Drosophila melanogaster: one gene and its partner. Changing the gene in region 1 together with any one later gene gives a genetic interaction. Each region holds a gene or a part of one and is shown in the gene's direction. Other genes may lie near its edges.

Region 1 (10,611 bases):
ATTTCTAACTGCTGACATATTGTGCATATTTATATAGTTATAATAATTTAGAGGGCATAAGATATTTTAAATATAACCTGCCAAGTAATAATGTTCAATACCTAGCCTACGTAAAACTAACAAATACGTATCCATCATATATTAAACGGAAATTTACATAGCATCCTAATTTACATCTCGTTTCGGATGGATAAAACCGGCAGCAGTAATTCGAAATTTCAAAAACCACGTCTTCACAGACTGCGTAATACGTATTCAAGTCGGTTTTATGCGGTTATGCCCTCTAAGCTCGGAGGCAACTGTACCTTGTGCAATGCGATCGCGATCGCCGCCATTTTGGATTTTCAATGTGGAGAGTAATAGAGCCAACGGCACTTAATCCATAGACTGCGATGGCCGACCAACTTATATTTCATGCATATAAAGCACACACCATCGAATACTACTCACTCATACACAGCAAAGTACCCATTTATCCAGACGCTTTCCAACTTATTTTACATAATAACCTAGGTTGTACCCACACGAATACAAATACACCACGCTGACCAGTACTAATACTCTTATAAGCCTTTATTTGCGTGTTTTTGTTGGCTATAAAATTGTTTTTTCTTTATCATAATTAAATTCATGGTTCGTGTATCATCTTCAAAAAAACCAAACCGATGGAAACACTCTCTCGATCTTTCTCTCGCTCTTTCGGGTCTTAATTCGTGCGCCGCAAGGTGAGTTGAGCGGTACAAATAAACGAATGTATGTACATATGTACAGTCATATTTACCTTGATCATTTCTATTGTCCACACACGTTCGATAGAAAAGGAGGGCAACAATGTGGAAGAGAGAGATGGAAGGTCGCGTGTGTGTGTGTAGGCAGGCTAAGATTGCTGGGGCTCAAATGAACGGAATGCTCCTAAATTACAGATGGTGGTTACTAGATAGATAGTTTACCTCTACAAATAATGAATACTTAAGTAGTATAAATATAAATTTAAAAAAAAAGGAAATGGATATTGCATAGGATTTTATAAATTTTTAGGATAAAGGATCTAAGTGGTAAGGCTTTCTTTTCAAACAATGTTGTTTTAGCTCAGTAAATCCAAATACTTATAGCTGAATTTTGTTTTCCAGGGTGTTTACCAAATCGCAACCATTATACAGTGATAGTTTAAGTTGTTGAATTTAATTATGCTACCGTTGGGTCTACAAATTCCATCCAATCTAAGACTGTGGGGTAAACTCAAGCAAAACGAAAGCGCCACCCATCCGAAGATGGCTCTCAATTCCCGCCTCACTCACACCTTCTGCTGCTCGGCGTTTTGCCTCCCCCAACCAATTTTTCACGTACACGCATTTCTTTTGATAATTTCATAATCATGTTTCTATTTTTCACATTGATAACTCAGCCCGAGATCACCGGAACTGAGAGCTTTATGGGACGCAGCTTCGAGTGTCAATAACTCATCCGCTGACATCGAATGCTGGTCGCCAACGCAACTGCTAAGCCCCCCCCACTCCCCGACCCACTAATCCGTTGGGGAAACTCCAGGAAAACCCGCTTGAAATTGCTGCACGAGCTGCAAGATAAATGAAATGTCATTTGCCTCGTGTGCAACAGATCGGCGTCTTCATTCCATGGCTGATATATCCCCCTATTAGGCATTGGAGTACCCAACTTGGATGACTCCATTGAAGGCAGAACAGAGGAATCTGAGATGAAAAATAAGTGGATACTGAATAATTATTGATCAATTATATATCACTGTTAACAAGGAAAACATTAACGCATAGAAATTAGATAGTTTTGTATTTATTTGTAGAGAAAACACTCTTGGTTCGTTATTTACTTTGGACAAATCAGAGGATATTGAAATATTTAAAGATATTTCATTTAATAATTGTATTGTATTATTTGTGGAACTAAATTAAAATATGTACATACGCAGAATGTGAGCAATGGACCAACACAGCTTTTATATACATGCACCACTAAAATAATATCAAAATCACACAAATGTCATAAACAGAATCCATTAAAAGCAACCTGAAAATACTGATTCTTTTTATTAAAAATAAACTTGAACCACCCACGAATTCAACTGTTGTTGTTCTTATTAGTTTCATTTTTTCCAAGCAATTTTTGTTCGACCATTGAAATGCGTACGAGATTATTTAGACAGATCGTGGCATTAAAATATATGTACATGCTTATATTTATATATATACATATATGAGCACAGACATATATTAAGCGCATACATCCGAATATTTTAATTAGAGTATAGATAAAAAATAACAACAACAAAGGAAAAAGAGACGAGCAGAGAAGAAGTGAACGAGCGGGGGGCTGTCAGGGGCGGAGGCAGCAACAAATATTAACAATAATTATACCCAAAATATAAAGACGCGGCGACACCTATTCCATATAAATTTTAGGTTTCCACAATTTTTTCACTCACTCTCGATAAAAATAACATTCCACACGTACACACACAACTAGATGGGATGCGGTGGGGCGGTGAAGAAACAGATTTGGGAAGTGAATTTTGGACAGTACCTACACACCACCACCACCCATTCTTGCCCCTGGAAGAGTGGAGGGGGGGGGGGGTGCTTGTGGGTAAAAATAAATACAAATGTCGCCGGCATCAATAAGATATAAATTAAAAGCGTACTACAATCCCAATGTTAATTAGAGAAGCACGAGAAGCGAAGAGAATGCAGCGGAGGTGGGGCCAAACATAAAACTAAGGTGGAGCGAAGTGAAGCGAAGAATGAGAAATTCAGCCCCGCTACACTGAGATAAAGTAGTGGAAATCTTTTAATTATGAAATACATTTTGATATCCTAAAAGGCAAGAATTGTTAGCTATATATAACAATTAACAAGATATATTATGAGTAGTTAACACAGAATTGCAGAAGAATTCTTAAACATTGAAAAATTTTCTAGATTCTTTCTTATAGTGCAAGATTATATACCCATTGAGTTTGGGTATGGAACTTTCCTCCGCCCAACCAATTTCATACCTCGCTCCAATGGAAGCGCTTGACGTGCTGTCGTGTATCTATTAGATACATTAGCTGCCGCATGCCACCAACTTGCGCTCCCTTTTTGGGAAGCTGTAGCTGCATCTACAGATCGTTGCATCCGAAACTCTGTGCATTTGTGGATCGTTGGGATGTTTGGTGGTGCGGCGACAATTTCGGTGTTCTGCCATTTGGAGTGTTTTTACACGTAAATTTATTTTGTTTTTGTCGACTTTAATAAAGTTGCATCTGCCGAGGGGTGGCACCTCATAGCTTTAGCGTCTGCCGAAGTGGGAGACAAACTTTATTTATTCCAGCCTCAGGCAGCTTAATGACTTCCTGCAGGGGCGGCTACTGCGAGAAATCGGAGGAGGGCAAGATTAAGGTGCGGTTCCAGTTCTCCACGGAACTGTCTTCCTTTTTTTGAATTATTATTCTACCATAAAGCTCCGCATATCTAAGGAAAGTATGGTTAGGGAAAATACATCATATTAAGTATATTCATGTATCTTTAGCCTTATTGTTAAATTACACTATTATTGGACAAATATCTGTGTACATTCATTCGTTTAGACATCCGTTTAGAAAATTTAGTAATTTGCACATTTGAACGTTTTTCCTTAGCTGCGTCATTTTAATTACAATTTCAAATAAGGTCAAATGATTTATTGAAATCCGTCTCACAACTACAGTGCATTCCAATGACTAAAGTTATGCTTGTGTCTTAGTTTGTTTTCTTATTTGGTCCACATTTTTGTAAGTAAAGTTAAAGTAAATTAAAGTATATTTTAATTCAAAAATTAGGGTTAGTTCATTTTTATATTTATTTTTGTACTTAAACTTACATTTTACATTTCCTTTTCAGACTGAGAAATAACTTAATTCGATGAAATGCTACTTTATTTATGGAAACTATAATTTATCAGAGAGCGCACATTTTATCGCACTTAACACCCAATGAATCAAAAACTCGGGCTGCTCTCTTCTACCGAAAACTTTTGGCCAAGAAAGCGCTGGCAATTCTGCAATTCAATTGGTCGGCCGTCCGTCTTTCTTTCTTCTCGGGCTCTCTGCAGTCTTCACCTTGCCACTTTGCCCGGTTGGAAAAGTAAACACAATCTGATTGTATGGCTTAGATAATAGCCCCCTTGTGCGCCAGTGTGTGTGTGTGTGTGTGTGTCTGTGAGTGTGTTGGCCAGTTGGAGGAGGATGGGGCTAAAAAAAAACGAGTGAGAAACCACCGACGCGCTGCATGCAACATGTTCGCCGTCGAACGTCAAACGACGAGCATCGAACGTCGAACTTCGAACATCGAACGTGGAGCCGACGAAGAGTGCGTCGGATTTTACTTACCGCTTACGAAAACAGGAATTCTTATTACGCGCAGTACAATTTCAGAAATCAGACGGGCAGCAAGTGTCGTGGTTCAAGTGCGGCTAATTTGGCTTATATGTGATTTTCAGTGTTTTGATGGCTTAGTAAACTATCAGAAACACAGAGACAACTGAATTTGAACTTCTCAACTAAATAAATACAAACCATAACATAACTAAAGAAAACAAAGAACTGTAATATAAAATAAAAATAAATTAAAAACGAAAAACTATTAAAATGCATATAAACCCGAATTGGAACGAATAAACTTGGTGCTGTTAACTGTTTTCGAAATAAATCCAAGAAACTTCCGTTCCTAGTGCGAAACTATAAACAACAAGAACTGCAGCGGCGACGCGTCGGCAAATTGGCATAAATAAATAAAATCAGCGACGTTTTTTTCTGCTGCCGCTGTTCTTTTTTTACAACCCGATTTTTATGAATGAATGCAGCTAACAGGCAGAAAAAAAACCGCAACAAAAGAGCGAGATAGCGCGAGTCGCGTGCACAGGAGCGAAATCGTTGAAGAAAACGGGGGAAGTGGGGGCGGTTGTAAAAAAGCGGACAGGTTGTACCGTTCGATTGCCGCCCACCGCCCGTTTGTCGCCCACTTTTTGTTGTTATTATTTTTCGGTTTGCTTTTCCGCTTTTCCTCCTAGGCGACACACGCTCATGCTTGTCACTTTGTTGCTTTTGCTTTTCGCCTGTCAGCGGCTGTCACAAATCCGCAAACAAACACACAAACACTCACACACACACACACACGCAGCAATTGTTGTCGTTGCAAAATTAATAACGGAAGTTGTGCATTTTATTAATAAAAACGAAATTCACACAGAACCAGATTCACAATCGCAATCAGAATCAGAGAAAATAAAACCAGAACACGAAACTCGCTGCGAAAAAGAGCGCACGAAACAAAAAACAAAAACAACAAAAATCGCAAGTGCAGCGCGACGGCTTCTTCGTCTTCTTCTTATTCTTGTGGCGTTTTTCTTCTACTTCGTTTCGTTTGTTTTCCGCTTCTCGGAAAACCCAGGAAAATGCTCTCTGATTTGCCAGCGATTCTCATTCATTTTGTTCTTATTGTGATTGCAGTTGTGCAGTGTTGAAAAATCAAACTAAATTCAAAATCGGCTTTAAAGAAAACAAATTCATAAAGGGAAATACCCAAAGAAAATAACCCTCAGTGTTTCAAAAGTGTTCAAATTTTACAATTGTGGCATCACAACAACAAATTCAGCAATCATCGTGAATTTTCAAAAAGAAGATTAAGAAATCAACAGTGCAAACGGTAAGTTTTAAAACTGATTCTTGGAAATGTATGTACGAATCTGCTTGGATGGCAACTTTTTAACAGGGAATTTGATCGTTGAAGTCTTTGGGGTTAGTTCCAATGTTTGTTTTCTGACAGTATATGAATTTTAAGTTATTGATTTACTTAAATTTAATGTAACTAATATTCTGGAAACGAAACCAAACGAGAATCAAATCGTTTAAGCTGTTTAACTAGATCACATTAAAATCGTAGTAAAATAGAACTTTCTCGCTTCCCTAGACTTTTATAACTTTATATGTCATGATTTTGTTTTACATAAATTGAATTAGGTTAACAAATGTTTTATGACCGCGATCTTTGTTTGCGATCTCTCTCAGTGATCGTAAACCGAAGTTAATGGCTTACAAAATCGGGCTCACAAAAGGCGTCAGCATTTGGAATTGTCTTTAAACTAGTTGGCCAAAATGTGTGAATCTAAGAAAATTATGTATTTTTTGGTGTTACACGCTTTCTTGATTGGTCTGCTGCTCTTGAAGACAGACCCGAATAGTTGGTGTCCTCTTGCGATTTGATAAATGAATCTTGCAACTTAGGGAAAACGTTTTCGGGGGAATTTTCGTGTGCAGTAATTGCCAACTTTTTTGGAGGCAGTAGTGCTGTGGCACCCATAGGTAGGTAGTGTTGTGTGTTATGGCCAATAATGGTAATAGCAGCTAATGAACCTGACTCTCGACTGAATTTTTGGATTTAGTCTCGGAGTCGGGGGTCTGCGATACCCAACACCAAACACCATCGCGTAAGTGTAGATTCCTCGCCTGGGCGAGTGTTGTTTTTATTTTTCACCGGCCCGTTGAAAACAAACACAAATACGTAGATGTGGAAACCCGGGGATGCTGGGAAACAAAAGGGTCAAGGGGGCGAACAATTAACGCGTCGCTGTAATTACAGCAAATGGTTAAAAAAAAGGGGTTTGGGAACAACTAACCAGAAAAAAGACACAAAGAGAGGGAAAAATAGAAAATATTAATAATCAATAGCCCGCTAAAAGGCATCGATGGAGTCGGTCGAGTTGGTCGCGATGGTTGAGGCAATTTTATCGGTCATTGAACGGCCAAAAGAAGCCAATACCAGAAAGAGATTTTTTTACAAGCCGAAAACGCAAATCGTCGGACTTGGAAATTATGCCAAAAACTTCGACTTTAGACGCGGCAAGAAGCGATCGGTTTTTGGTTAATTACCCGGCCAAATCTCCGTTAACCTCCGGCGAAGAAACTTCGATGGCCTTTTCTGGGGGGCTGAGCAGTTAATTACATAAAAACAAGTGATTTGCGTGTGCGCTGCTGCTTTTGCTGCTGCCCACCGGCATCGATTCTCCAGCTCCGTTTCTTAGATTTTTTTTGTGTTGGGTAATTTTCAACTCGCCAACTTTCGGCCCGGCTAATTAGCGGAGAAAATCTGCGGCACAGGCCGAAAACCCATTTTTAGGTTGAACACTTGCGAGTGTTTGGTAAATGTCCAAGAACAGGTGACCTTTGACTTTAGTTTGAGGGCCTAAAGCATGATTAGGTAAGCAGGAATCAATTTAGAATTCAAAAAAGTCATTACATATTCAAATACTCGCATAAAGAACCTCCTATTAGTTGCTTACAAATTTTTCTTATTCCATAATTACTATTTTAAAACTTAACGCATAGCTTAACAAATTTGCTCACAGAGTTTGAGAGCTTATTTCATTACTTCAGTTCTGTAATTATATTCTGTGCAATAACCTTTTGCTCTTAGCTTAGATTGTATGAAAAAGTGCAGAATATAAGTACATTTTGGCCGTCATCTTCTCTCTAAAATTCTGCTTTATTTCATTATGTCTCAAATCATTCTTCAGCCTCGGTTCTCACTTTTTTCCTGCCCAGTTTTCGAATGACCTTTGGTTGGCGCCGTCTTCTCCGCATCCTTTTGCCCCACACTCCATATAATTTATCATAAAAAATAAAAGTTTTTTGGCTTTTTACGAACCTTTTCATGGGGTTTCTGCCCCCCTGCGGTCAGATGAAAAAAAAGTGGAAGGAAGCTGGACAATCGGCGCCGTGACTGCGTTCTAGATAAATAAGCATTCTTAATTATCCCTTTGCCTCCTTCTCTGGGGTGGCAAAAATGTTATAAACAATGGAAACCGCGCACTTAATGCGTTTTCTGTTTTCCAGAAGAAGGAAAAAAAAAACGAACGCGGCTGCGGCAAGTATTTTTCTTCATATTATTCATTATTTTGTGGCCAAAAAAGAAAATGTTTTTATTGCCTGCGAAAAAGGGTATAAAATGCTCAGTCGCCATTAGCCAAGGACCCGCAACCAAAACGACAACAATTCCAATCAAATGTAAAGGAGCAGGGCATAAAAAAAGGAGATTTCCAAGTGGCCCAAATGCCGAGATACTCAATGATGGGTGGAGATTTGGGTGTGAGAGGTCCAAAAAGAAATGCCGTCGGTAGATGAGATTTGGATTTCTGGCCCATGACAGGCCAGTGACTTTTCACTTTTTCGCATGTGAGCAAATGTGTAATTGAAGTTCCGCTCGAGAATAAAGAAGTGAAGCGGGCCAAGAAACAAAGGAATGTGGAGAAAGGACTCTAAGGACCTGGCCAAGCCATTCGATTCCAACGTTCGCCTTTCTCACTCGCCGACGGCGGCGCCTTGGCCCAAAGTATCGCGATTGCCGCATGAGTTGGCACAAAATCACAAAAATCAGTAAATCGCTCACAAAGTGCACGAAAAGTGCAGCGAAAATGAAAATGATGTGGCACTTTCTCAATGCTACCTGCCATGTAAATCATCAAACAAAAAGATCCTTCGAAAATATTATTGCAGGAGCATGGGACTTAAGCGGAATATACATATGTACATAGCTGCATCGCATCGATTTGGAGAAATATTCTCATCAAAATATTTGCACTTCTTCTTCGAGAACTCCTAACGACACCAATTGAGAACGTAAGCCAACGTAAACATTCGAAGTTTGAAGCTGCTGTCACAGTGGACAGTCGCTAAAGTGTACGAACTGGCTGTCCTTTTAATTAACTATGAAAAAAAGGTAAAAGATACAGTTACAGTTATTAAGTTCGATACTCTAGGATTTTGGTTAGTTTTAAATAATTTGAATCGCAACTAGATATGAAATATTCTATTTTTTTTTTTTTTTTTTTTTTTTTTTTAATTTTTATTATTTATTGAATCTTCCCTTTGTGTTAAGAGACTAACAATAAGTGTTCAAATCTTAATCTAACTTAATTAACTTTCACTTAGTGATAGTTTTTTTTTTTCATTAATGCCCTAATAAGTTTATTGCTGGGCTGGGAGGTCGTTGCGGTGCAGCCGGCTTTGACTGCATACTCGGATTAGTTTTCTTGCGAGGGGATTTGTATGGGTGGTCAGCTTTTCGTTATACTTCGTTTTTTTCTCAGCTATTACTTCGATTACTAATTTGATTTTTAGGTCTCTGTGTATGTTTTCGTTCCGAAGGTACCACGGCGCTCCAGTGATAATTCTCAGAATTCTTGACTGTGCTCGCTGAATAATGTCTATGTTACTTCTGGATGCGTTGCCCCACAGCTCGGAGCCATAAGTCCAGATAGGTTTTAAGACGGAGTTGTATAGAAGAGCTTTGAACTCCAGACTAAGTGGAGAGCGAGCATTTATGAGCCAGTGGAGGTTCCTTGCTTTAAGTTTAAGATGTTTAGATTTGGCTTCTATATGTTTGCGCCAAGTGAGCCGCCTGTCCAGATGAACTCCCAGATATGTTACCTCGTCGGCTTGTGGAATGCATATGTTATTCAAGACCAGTGGTGGGCATGTTTGTTTGTTTAAGGTAAAGGTAACCTGCTTGCATTTTTGAACATTTATTGAAATTCTCCAGTCGGCAAGCCATCGTTCTACAGATGTTAAGTGTCGGGATAGGAGTGCCGTGGCTTTTATTGGGCATTTCGAGCGACTGAGTATCGCGGTATCATCAGCGAACGTGGAGGTTGTTAGATTGTAGTCTATGGGGAAATCCGCCGTATACAGGGTGTATAAGATTGGACCCAGTACACTGCCTTGCGGCACTCCAGCTTCGATTGCGCAATCGCGTGAAGTGCTTGTATCGCATCTTATTGCAAACACTCTGTTATATAGGTATGACTTCAGTAGCTTATGTGTGTTTTGGGGCAACAGCTTGATTATTTTAAACAAAAGTCCATCGAGCCACACTCTGTCAAATGCCTGCGCGACGTCTAGAAAAATGGCTGTGCAGTATTCTCGATGTTCAAAAGCAGTACGAATTTCTGACGTGATTCGGTTGACCTGTTCGATGGTTCCATGTTTTTCTCTAAAGCCAAATTGATGTGTTGGAAGTGTGTTGTTTATTCTAAGATGAGGGCTAATCCGAAGGAGTAGCATTTTTTCAAACAGCTTTGAAAGACATGTTAGTAAGCTTATCGGTCTATATGATGATGGCTGCGTTTTATCTTTTCCTGGCTTTGGAATCATTACTATGGTCGACTTTTTCCATTTTTGAGGGAAGTATCCAAGCTTGGCGATTGCGTTGAACAACAGGCAGATGTGAAGAATAGCACACTTTGGGAGTTCAATGAGCATTCTTGGAGTTATTAGGTCGTAGCCAGGCGATTTTCTTGGGTTCAGTTGCTCTTTGATAACCTTTGCTAGTTCACATGGTCGGAATTCAAAGGGTTCTTGAGGATCTAGATTGGCTGCTATTAAAGGAGGGAGAATAAATGTGTTGGTAGAGGGATTTGATAGTAGCATTACGTCGATGTTTTTTTCGTAAATGAACTGTGTGAGCTCTTGTGTATGCCGTGAAACGCCATTTGCGTTCCACAGAGATATCCGTAGGGAAGCCATTATGGGGATTTTGAAGATACAAGAAGTTGAATCAGGATATT
Region 2 (10,952 bases), on another chromosome or scaffold:
CGCTTTCTGCGCCCCTTGCCAGAAGCTTTTCTGTTGGAAAAGCGGCGGGAAAATGCAATTCGGGGGTGTGGCAGACGGTCTCTTGTCACAAGAATCTAATGTGCAATTTTACTTTACCGCATGCCACGCCCCCTTTCGCCATGAGGAAGTCTAAGCCGAAGCCCCAAAAGGGGCGAGACTTACCTTACATAATTAACATACATACATGCTATGCATCGAATCGAATGGAGCCCTCGAAAATTGATTGAATACCACGGCTTTTGAAGCTTAGAAAATCATCAATATTTTTCTTAAATAAATAAAAAATAACAGTACCAATTGGACAGCTTTAAGTAAATTTAAAAGCTAATTTCTAGCCGACTTTTTGAGGCAACTTGAATTGGTTTTCGGGCAAATCTGAATGGTGCTCATTATGGACTTGATGGTTAAGGTGGTTGGGTGGTTGGGTTGGCCGTAAAAGGCTTTGCATTAACACCACCCAAACACCCCAAATGCAGCCAACCAAATGTCAAACGAGGCTACTTTTCTCCTCCCTCACTCGCTAATTTCTGCCGGTTTTTTTTTTTTTTTTTTTTTTTTTTTTTGTGTGGATTTTCCCTTTCGACGTTTTCTTCCCTGCTCCTTTAATGGGATTTACCTAAATGAGAGCTAATAATGCCCCGGTTGCGTCCGAAAGTGGAAAATATTTCCGGGTGCGAGAGCCGGGAGGCTGTACAATTTAACATGCCATTTGATGTCGAGCTGGCTATGTTTCTGTTTCTGTTTAGGATTTGGGCCCTGGGCTCTGGGCTCTGGGTTCTGGATTCTGGGTTATGATTACTCCGGCCCTGCATCTGCCTCTGCTCTGTGCCATGATTATTATTGGCACATTAGCCGGCGACTCGCAGCCAAGTGGCGAGCCATCCAGAGCCACTCCAGGCACACACTCGACACTCGCCTGGGTCCGGATTCGAACCCCTGACCCAAGACCCCAGACTCCTAGACCCTTAACCCAAACCGCCACTGCGACAAAAAATGCAGAAAAATATTCGGAAAGAAAGCTCCGAAAAATGGAGTTTCAGTCAGAAAAGAAGAACAATGCAACATTTCATAATACGGCTATAGAAATCAGTAATGCCTTCATTCAAATAGATATAGATTGAAATTTTGGATACACACAAAATACACTGTCATTGCAGCATGCCTTCTTCTGCATTATTTCGCCCAGTGTAGCTGATATTTGCGAGGCGGAGCGGAAGCGTCGAACGGAACCTGCATATGTAAGCAAAAGCCAGCGGCGGTTTTTGGGTCCAACCCTTGGAATCTGGAGGGGATGGAGCTGGATCACATAAGGTGGAATGGGCGTCCAGTTGGGGAGGGGCAACGAGTCCAGGACGACAATTGTCGCGTCTAGAGGCACTTACGCTAAATTGCATTTCACTTGTGTATGCGTGCCGGGGAAAAAAGCAAATAACCGTACCGTACTTACCACATACACTGTTCGAAATACTTGAAGATTCGTTATTGCTGGTAAGTAGTAATAAAAGGATGATAGATTCAAAGAGATTTACATATCTAGAGTTGTTGAAACTATCTGACGAAATTCGTAAGTGCTTCTTTCCGCTTGCTTAGCACGCAATGTGTGTGTGTGTGTGCGTTTCGGGCCAACTTAAAACAGCTCAACGCGCATCTCATAATTATCTCCTCGCTTCGCTGCCGTTTTGAAGAGCCACCGCCACGGAGACAGTTTAATAATCGTCAAAATAGCCACCGAGGGGTCAGCAACGAAGCCATCGAACCCACTGTCCCTTCTGCACCAGCAGCCAAGCACCACTAGACGATCTTTTCCAGCCTTTCTGCTTTTTAGCTTGTTGCATGTGACTGCGGTGTCACATGTGTCTTCTATGTGCACTTCCCATCCCATCATCCCTGAGCATACTTCCATACAACCCAATCCCAATCCCCATGCCAATGTCCCTTTCCGTGTCCGTGACGATGTCCGTGTCCGGTCTCATAAGTTGGCCAAACACGCCATCTCCCGGAACTGGGAATCGAGCGTCGAGAAATCATGAGTGTCAGCTGGCCAAAGGCTAACGTTTGACTCTAAGAACTACAGGTCCTGCAACACTTGACTCATACACAAGGAAAGGAGTTTATGATAAAACTGAAGTGTACAAATTATATCACTAATATGACATTGGAGTTTTGTCTTTTGGGAGTCACAATTAAATGCATAAATAATGGTGCTTTGAGATTGGCTCGCAATGTTTATATTATTGAAAAATGAATGGAACAGAAGTGCATTGGAAATATTGATATTGATTAGGTATTACAATTTAAAAACGAATAAAACGTTGTGATTTGTAACGACCAGCAGAGCCTTTGAAGTCGCAATAAAGTGTGAATCATTTATTATCCAGAACATATTCATTTTGCTATTAGATTATATCAGATACATATCAAAAGTCTATATAATTAATTAATTAATTAGCTCGATTGCCTGGTAGAATATATACACGAGTACATTTATTGAAATAGATCGATGGAAGGAATCGTATGGTGGTCAAGTTATCGAGTTTCGTCATTTCTTTAAGCAGATTTTTATAGTTTGATTGGGATTGAAATCAGTTGAAAGGGCCAACTATATTTTTAATTATAATTTTCTTGCAATATAAATGAATATTAATTGCTAGTTTTTCTTGACTTGAAATTATCGTAAATCATTGGCAATGCATGAAGTTACAGCTTATTTGCAGATCCTTTGGCGCAGGAAAGTACTCTTTGCGAAAAGGGCACACCCAACTTCTAATTCCCTGGCGGTTTTCCACATTTCCCTCGCTCATTTTACAAAAACAAAACAATGCAGAGAAGACAACAAAAAAAAAAAGAGAAAAAATGGAGAGACTCTTGTCAATTCATAACTGAAAATGAAACGTTTTCCGCTGGGCTTGTTGTTTGTTTGCAGTTACCATTATTATTGCTACTGCTCCTGCTCTACTACTACTACTACTACTATTATTGCTGCTGTTTTGTTTCATGCAACTTTTACCATAATTGCGGGTAGCATTATGACATCGGGAAGCGACAAGCGAAACGCAACCTGAACATAATTACAACAATTTGTTGTCTAGTGTTTGACAACAACAGCAACAGCAAACAGCAACAAAGGCACAGAGCAAAAAGAAGCCGAGGAGATGATTGTTGTCATGGTTGAATGATGCAACTGGAAAAGGCAGAAAACAGCAGCTACATCGGCAACAAAAGTCACGCACATTGACATTCGCCTGGAGAAACCGAAAAAGATGACACGGTAAGGCAGCCAAGGAAAGGTGGGAAAGCCTGCAGCACGCCCTCCATGCACTGGGCAAAAAAAAAAAAGACATTAGAAATATCACTGGAAAAACGCAAAACTTTCCATGTTTTGTTTGGATTTTTCTGGGGCGTTAAACCTAAGCAATTCAGACTACAAATAATAATAATAAATATTACATATTTTTATTTGGGAACCCAGTATTTGGCCCTTCTTCCTTGCAGTGCAATCCTTCCCCCGAGGACAAGGAAATACATCTGTGGCAATGTGGCAGCTCCTCTGCGATGCTCGTCACACTTCATTTCGACGCTTTCAACGCTTGTTGCGCCTCTAAATTAATTGCCACAGCCTGTGCAGCGCCAAAATTTAATGCAAAGTTTAGCAAATACAAGGAGCAAGTGTATTCCTGACCCCCCAAACGCCACCCTTTTCGTATATCCCTCGGGATCGGGAGCTTCGACTAATTAGCAGGCGAGGCGCAGGCGCCAGAGCTGCGTAAAAAAGTCGGGCTATACGGAATAGCGAATCGGTAGGATATGCGCGCCACATGCCCCATTATCAACAATTGCACATTGCGCCATATTTTACAGTTGATTCTCATCGGCCATGGCAGATGCATTCAGGAACTTCTTACATGTTATTTTTGATGTTCTGGGCATTCGGAAATGGTTTGGCAGAGAAACGAAATGTACCCTCGTTTTTTAATTGCTACACATTTATTTTATAATTATTTTAAATTTAAAATTTTTAAGATTAGTGATCTGGAATTATCAAAAATTCAATATTTGAAGCACAAATTATCCAAAGAAATAACTGACGTATTAATCATTTATTTGTTTTGAATTCAATATTTATCTGAGTTCCTACATTGCGAGCTGTAATTTCATAATCACAGCAATATCTTTTCAACATTTTTCTTTTTTTTTAAAGAAATTTTATTTTTCAAAGTTCTGTGCTTCTATTATTTCTCCAAATTTTAGCTCCCTTTTCCGAATTTGAGCCTAAAATTTCGCGCCAAAAAACCGAATAAAGCCATATAGGTGAAGTGGAAACTGAGAAATAAGGGACACGAGAAGGCACGGAGACGGAAAAGGACATTTTTGCCTGTGTGACAAAATCGCTGACTACGTGTGTGTGCGTGTTTTCCTTCTCGCCATGTAACGCTATCTCGCTTCTACACGCACACACATGAACACAAGCCCGAGACTCCGCCCACTAAGCGATCGCGATGAGATGAGAAAAAAACTCACCACAGTCCGGTAAAAAACGCTCAACTCACTCACTCAGTCATACACACACACACACACATTCACTCGCTCTCCCACTCTTTCTCACCGAGAATGCGCATTCCCTCTGGCACTTGCCTTCTCGTTCTTGCGCACATGAAACTGTGTAAAATGGTCGCCTTGCAGGGGGCGTTGCTTTATGGCCGTCTTTTTCGCACCCATGCGAAAGTGCCGCAGTGTGAGCGAGAGGGAATGCGTTTGTGGATGGAGGTTTTGAAAGCAAGAGTAGAGAAGATGCGACGTTGTAAACGAATTTGCATATTTCTACTGCTTTACGCTTATTGCATATTTTATTCATTACGTTCTGGCGCTTCGGCGGATGAAAACCCAAGAAAAGGCGAAAAGCGAAGGAAAGTGTCATATGGCATTCCGACTACCGTTAGCTCTGCGTGACATCGGTCCTCCCTTTCGCACGCACAATCTTCATCCTTCTTTTTGCTTCTTGTTGAGCTTCTTCCTTTTTTAAGCTTTATAATTTATAAATTCGTTAATATATAAAAAAAAAGTTGCTTAAAATTCTAAATTCTCAGTTCAAGATATAAAAAATTCAACAATTATTCCTACGAAAATCCTTTTAAATAATTTCTTATAAGCTGTTAGCTCAATCTGAATACAGTCCCAACTATCTCTGGTTTTGTATATTTTTTCTGTAACTTAGAATTAATATTTAGTGTTTTTTTTAAAGCTGAGCTTTTTGTTTTTACTTTCATTTGATTACCAAGTATTTCCAACCCAAATATATACATATATATATGGTATATATATTACTTAACTAATAGCTACAATCATATTTACGTCTTAAAAGGATTCTTAGCTGTTTTAATATCTTAAAGCTGTTTCCAGATTTCATATACTTAAGGTCATAACAATGCCAACATCCTAGTTTGTTTTTTATTTGGCTCCTTTTACCCGAAATTGGTTCCACGTATTTCTGCAAATTTGTTTATTTTCGCTTGGCAGCGACTTAATCTGTGCTCCAGTTTTTCGTAGTATCCCCCCCCAAAAAAAATGGACACCATACACACACACATTTAACGGTTAAGCCGTTGTCCTTTTTTCCCAAGAAGTCAAAGGATGCGATTCGAATGTGCGTGAGTTATCCGGCGTGTTGTTATCCTGGCTCGGACCAAATAGGATACAAAAAAAACCTAGCATAAACCGGTTCTGAGTAAGTGCTCAATTACTCACACACACACACACACACATGCAAAGAAGTGCTCACTCAAAACGAAGCGAAACGAGGCGAATTCGTGCCTCTGCCTCTGCCGACGTCGACTGTGCTGCCGTGGTGGGTTTTGTGAAGCAAAGCGTCGAGCAGAGTGGCGAATAGCGTCATTCAAAATTGGAATTCTGTTAGTAAACGTCGACACTTCATATGAAACGAAGAGCGGAGATCACAGCGGAAAATCCAGGGGTGTACGTGGGTTTAAAACGCACAGAGGGATTTCACTCAAAGAAAGAAAGAATACGTTTATACTTATATAGGGTTAGACCAGGAGGGTAGGCTACGTATAAAGACAAGAAGAAGGAAAGCAAAGAAAGAATGGCCTCGCCAAGTAAAGCTGAGAGCATAGAGTGTAGGGATTACACAGAAGGGCTTTAAAAAGAAAATATGTAACCCACAAAATAGCAACTACAAGACTACCCACGACTTGGGTGTCAAAATGCTTGTCATTCGACAGCACGGCGAGGGGGAAAACCTATGCTAAGCTGGCCTTAGCTTTTTTGCCCGCGTGTGGTGAACATAACACGGGCCAACCCACCTCCCCCCACGCGATGGGGATTCCCCACTTTCGCATTCTGCCGGCGTCGCTGCGAACGTCGCTGCCGGCTTCTTGCACTTTGGCGCTCGGCGTCGTCTTGGCCCGGTTATTTGTTGTTTTTTTTTTTTTTTTCGTTTTTCGGGCTTTTCGGCTTTTTGGATCGTTCTCGGCCAGCAGTCGCCGCCTGTCACACGCTCACGTCAAACGCTTTTGCCGTCGCGTCGTCAGATAAACCAAATGTCTCGCCGTGTTTACGTGTGATTCCCCTTTTTTGCTTCAATCCGAAGGCAAAATAAATACACTGACCTTAACCGATACGGCTCACCGTTTAACCGCTAACCGTTAACCGTTTCGTGGCCGTCGACGATAAGGAATCAAGAAACAACATCACCCTGCAGATTCTGTTTTGTTTTGTTTTTTTGTGCAGTCCAGAATTTTTTGAAAACCTGACAAGATTAAAGAAAATTGTGTTTGAAAAGTGCGTAAAGTGTGGAGTATTTAAACTTAAAAAAAAAAACATATATAAAAATCAAACAACAGCAAGGTGGGAGGTCCAAAGAATATAAATAAAAAACACACTGGTTTCCGCCTGAGATTTTCAAAATACCGTTTCAGATCATGAAAACATAATGGTATACAAATATATTATGTTTATGCTGCCCTTGGAAATAAATAGTATACTATCAAAAAAATCTACTCCTTGGTTTTTCCCTACTTGAGAAATGAGAAATTTACAAACATTAAATGTAGAACTACTGATAATTACTTTCAATATTTTGGTGATCCAATGAGTTAATAGGAAAGTCCTTAAACAAAGCGTGGTGGAACTCCTTCCCATTATGATAATCACATCGCATAACACCAGGGAGATTGTCTAGATTGATTGATCCAACCCCCAGGAGATTCCCCATCCCGATCTGCTCAAGCGCAACGAAATCGGAACCATTATCCAATTAGCTAACTCTTTCCGAACCCGTATCATCAGTTTATCGCCTCGTCAATTGTTTTCTCATACTTTTTTCGCTACTTAACTGATGTGACAATTTGTAGCCATTAGCCGGAGGCAGTCAGTCAAACAGTCGCTAGATTTGCAAGTTGTTCAGGCATGACAAAACAAAAAAGAAAAAAAAAAAAAAACTATATATATGCAATGTATGGCGATGGATAAGGGGGGGGGGGAGAGTTGGGGAGCGGGGTTCCGGAGACGAGATCACGATCGCATCTCGACACGCAGCTAAAAGTGTAAATCAGCTCGCCTTCCATTATGTCAACAATCTCTTTGTCTGTCCGTATTATTTACATTTGTCAAATCAAATTTGACAGCTGCGGAAAACATAATATCTCAAGTCGGCGTCTGCGGCACAGTCCGGTTTTTTGTATGGGGCCTTATTCAATAGGGAGGGGATCAAGGGGATTCGCGGAGGAGATCGTAGCCGCCTAGGACCACCGATACAAACTTGTATTCAGAACTGGATTTGTCGCTTCGCTCTGTTGTGCCAAACGAACTGAGCCATGAACACAAGAATGAATACTTGGCCAAGCACTCGATCAATCTGGTCTCACACAAAGTTCTTTCACTTGAAGATGTACAAAAATAATTAGACATTTTTCTATTTATCTATTGTTATACGGAAAAGGATTTAAAACGTGCAAACATTTTGACTACTTGTTCTAATTTCGAAATACTAAGCCTGAAAATCAAGGATATTTATAAATCTAATATTCCAAGCCACTGGCTATTATCATTCGCGTTTACAGAGCAATGTTTTGTAGGAAAGGATTTTCCCCAGCACCAAAATAATTTTCTCTTTCGAGTAGTTTATTGCACTGCTTATTAGCGATTAGTGACTTTTATGACTGTTTAGAAACGTAGTACTCAACCCTTTTCGAAAGTAGGTAACAACCCTTAACCATTTGTATTACATATTAGAGAATGTTTTCTTCTTGTTTCCGAGGGAACATGCATTTTCTTTTTGATCCTCATTTAGTAGGGATTACATTATTACACAGTTGGAAATATATATTGTCTTGATCGAATTACGGAATTAAGTGTTATATATACCTAAAATAGTTCCAAAATACCACAACACATAATACCTATATCTTTTGCTGACTTCACCAATTAATTGGTGAGGTTTCCAGTCGGGGTTGTTCGTTGGTAAGCTGCTAACGGACTTATGACATGGATATGGCTATGATTCGGGAATCACGATTCAGTATTCCGTATTCCGTATTCGGTGGGGTATGTACTGTGTACTCTGCTACTATAAAATGCCAGCTCCATTGTTGTTGCTACAACCGGCGGAAGAAAACGGAAGAGGGGATTGTATTTTTTGGATTTCGGGAATTGGGAATGGCCTGGATGCGGCACTTATCCTTGTTTTTTTTTTTTTTTTGGGGTTGAAGGCAACAAACACACTGCACACTTAACCGATAAATACGCACCACATCTATATTATATGTGTGTGTACATACTCGTATATGGATGCGTGTACGTTTGTACATCCGATGGACAGATCCTTTGTATCCTGCTATCCTGGCTCTATCTATTGACTGACTAACACGCCAGCTGACTTGGCAGGGGAGGAAGAAGCCAAGCGCTGGGGAAGTAGAACCTGGTCCTGCTGTCTCGTGCAAAGCTGACTGACATCCAGCAACTTCCTTTGGCCTCAGACTTCAGCAGCACTCACGCAATTTTCCTCCACACAAAAACCCCCACCTAGCTGATGATGGCTTGCCGGGGGTGGTTCTCATTCGGGCGATTTTCCAACGTGTTGTAATCCCATTTGCAGGATTGCGGATTCAGGAATCAATTACGAATTTAATTTATAAGCAAAGCTCGGTGGAAAACTCAAGAGAATCCAACCCACAGCTCGTAGCTCGTAGCTCGTAGCTCGTAGCTCTCTCTCTCCTGGCAAGGGTGCGTGTGCCTGCAGGTGGGTAGAAATTGTATATAGTCAGCGGGAGGATGCTACTTGTTACGGGATCAAATTGATTTCGATGGAGATTGCTCTCGAAAAAACTCGAGGCACTTCATCGAGCCTTTTGATGGCGTCCAAAAAGTTTTCTGAGCTCGCAGCTGTCAAGTGCAACGTTGCCCCTTCTCGAAGATTTTCCACCCACCGTCTGACAATGCCAGAACTAAAATTCCTTTTCATACTTCTCATCTTCCTAGCATTTTTTTTTTTGTTATTTTTATTTTCTTTTCTGTTGGAAACATTGCTGGAATGATTTGGCCGCGGACATAAAAAAAAAAGTTTAAAGTCTTGGCAGCTGAAACAAACTCCGCCTCTGATTTTCTTTTTTTTATTTTTTTTTATTCCTTCTGTTGTGTTTTGAGTGGCTGTGCATAATGTATACAGCAAATTTTTGTCTAACAATTTGGCGCATTTTCACGCGATTTTTCTTCTTTATTTGTTTGTTTGCTGCTCCAGAGGGTTATAAAAATAATATATATGCAAGAAAGGAAAAACACTTGACAGTTTCCTTTCGCTTTAATTGCTATGCAAATTGCTAAGGGGAAATGCTTATTCAAAAGGATTTAGCATCCTTGGTTTTATTGTGCGCAAACTAAAGTTACGCTTTGCTGCGGATTTGTATGAAAAGACCTGACAATTCTCGTTAACTTCCCAAGCGGTTTTTTGTTGTGTCACATTTTCTAATTAGATTTAAACAAAATGACAGGGAAATAAGAGACCACACCGAAAATTGTGAATACTGACATCTTTTAAAGTTCTTACAAATTGCAATGTGTCGAACATCAAATCGCAAGATGCCAACTATTTTAGGATTGCAACTATAAAGGATTCAGTTGCCATACGTTTCTATTGCAAAATATATCTACAAAAATCAATTCGATTCCATTTCTTTCCTTCCATTTAATTTGACTTCTCTTTATTCTCGGTCTTGTCTCGGCTTTTATTCATTTATTTTCTTTCATTTTCTTTTGATGGGGAAAAGCTCAAACCGAGCGCAACTTTTTATGACAGCATCACTTGGCACTTTCAATACAATATCATAATGGCCAAAAGGAGCTTAGGAAAGTAGGTGAGGTTGAGTGTAACTAAAGTGTATTTCTATACCAGCGCCGACGCCTCGATTTTTGCCATTGTCTGGCCCTCTCTCTCTCCCACACACCCACTGTTTGCCATTCCATCTCTGTCTGTTACTGACTTTTACATTAATGAGCATGTTTTTATTTATAAGTGTTCTTTTCTTCTCCTCACAGCATTCCTAGCCATTCTCTGCAGTTCGCTTTGTTCGCCCACAAGCTTTGTTGTAACGCCCTGCATGGTTCGCCATAAACTCCCATTCGTGAAAACCCCACGAAAGACCCCTTCAAAATTTTCCACCCGCTGCCCTTTGGTTTGACATTTTTACTGGATATTTATTTTTTTTCGGGCTCTCGGACAACGCTCGATTTCATTTGATGTGCCCACTGGCGCGTCCATTTGGTCAGAATCATTTAGCTGATTGGTCAGAGCAATGATAAGAAATCGGGGAGATCACAAGAGAAAAGGAGATGCAGCAAATATATATCCAAAGATACTAAGCAATTCTATATGACAAGCATATATCCATAAGCGCATGCATTTCTATATGAAAAGTTGTTGT

What was found.
Region 2: of ab (region 1) and bi, changing one enhances a phenotype caused by changing the other (phenotypic enhancement), as found in Drosophila melanogaster (one study listed by BioGRID).

Annotation. Positions count from the first base shown.
Region 1 is NT_033779.5:11,206,268-11,216,878, forward strand, and holds the start of ab (abrupt), read left to right. Parts: upstream 1-4,410; 5' UTR 4,411-4,480; exon of another isoform or gene 4,481-4,506; intron 4,507-5,500; 5' UTR 5,501-5,696; intron 5,697-10,611. UniProt on the Drosophila melanogaster protein: Expression is vital for development; may be involved in transcriptional regulation. In embryos, muscle specific expression is required for segmental nerve b (SNb) motoneuron target recognition within ventral longitudinal muscles.
Region 2 is NC_004354.4:4,406,930-4,417,881, forward strand, and holds the start of bi (bifid), read left to right. Parts: upstream 1-5,926; 5' UTR 5,927-5,991; intron 5,992-6,532; exon of another isoform or gene 6,533-6,970; intron 6,971-10,952. UniProt on the Drosophila melanogaster protein: Essential protein that may function as a transcription regulator. Vital for pupal development. Required for proper development of the optic lobes and wings, and abdominal pigmentation.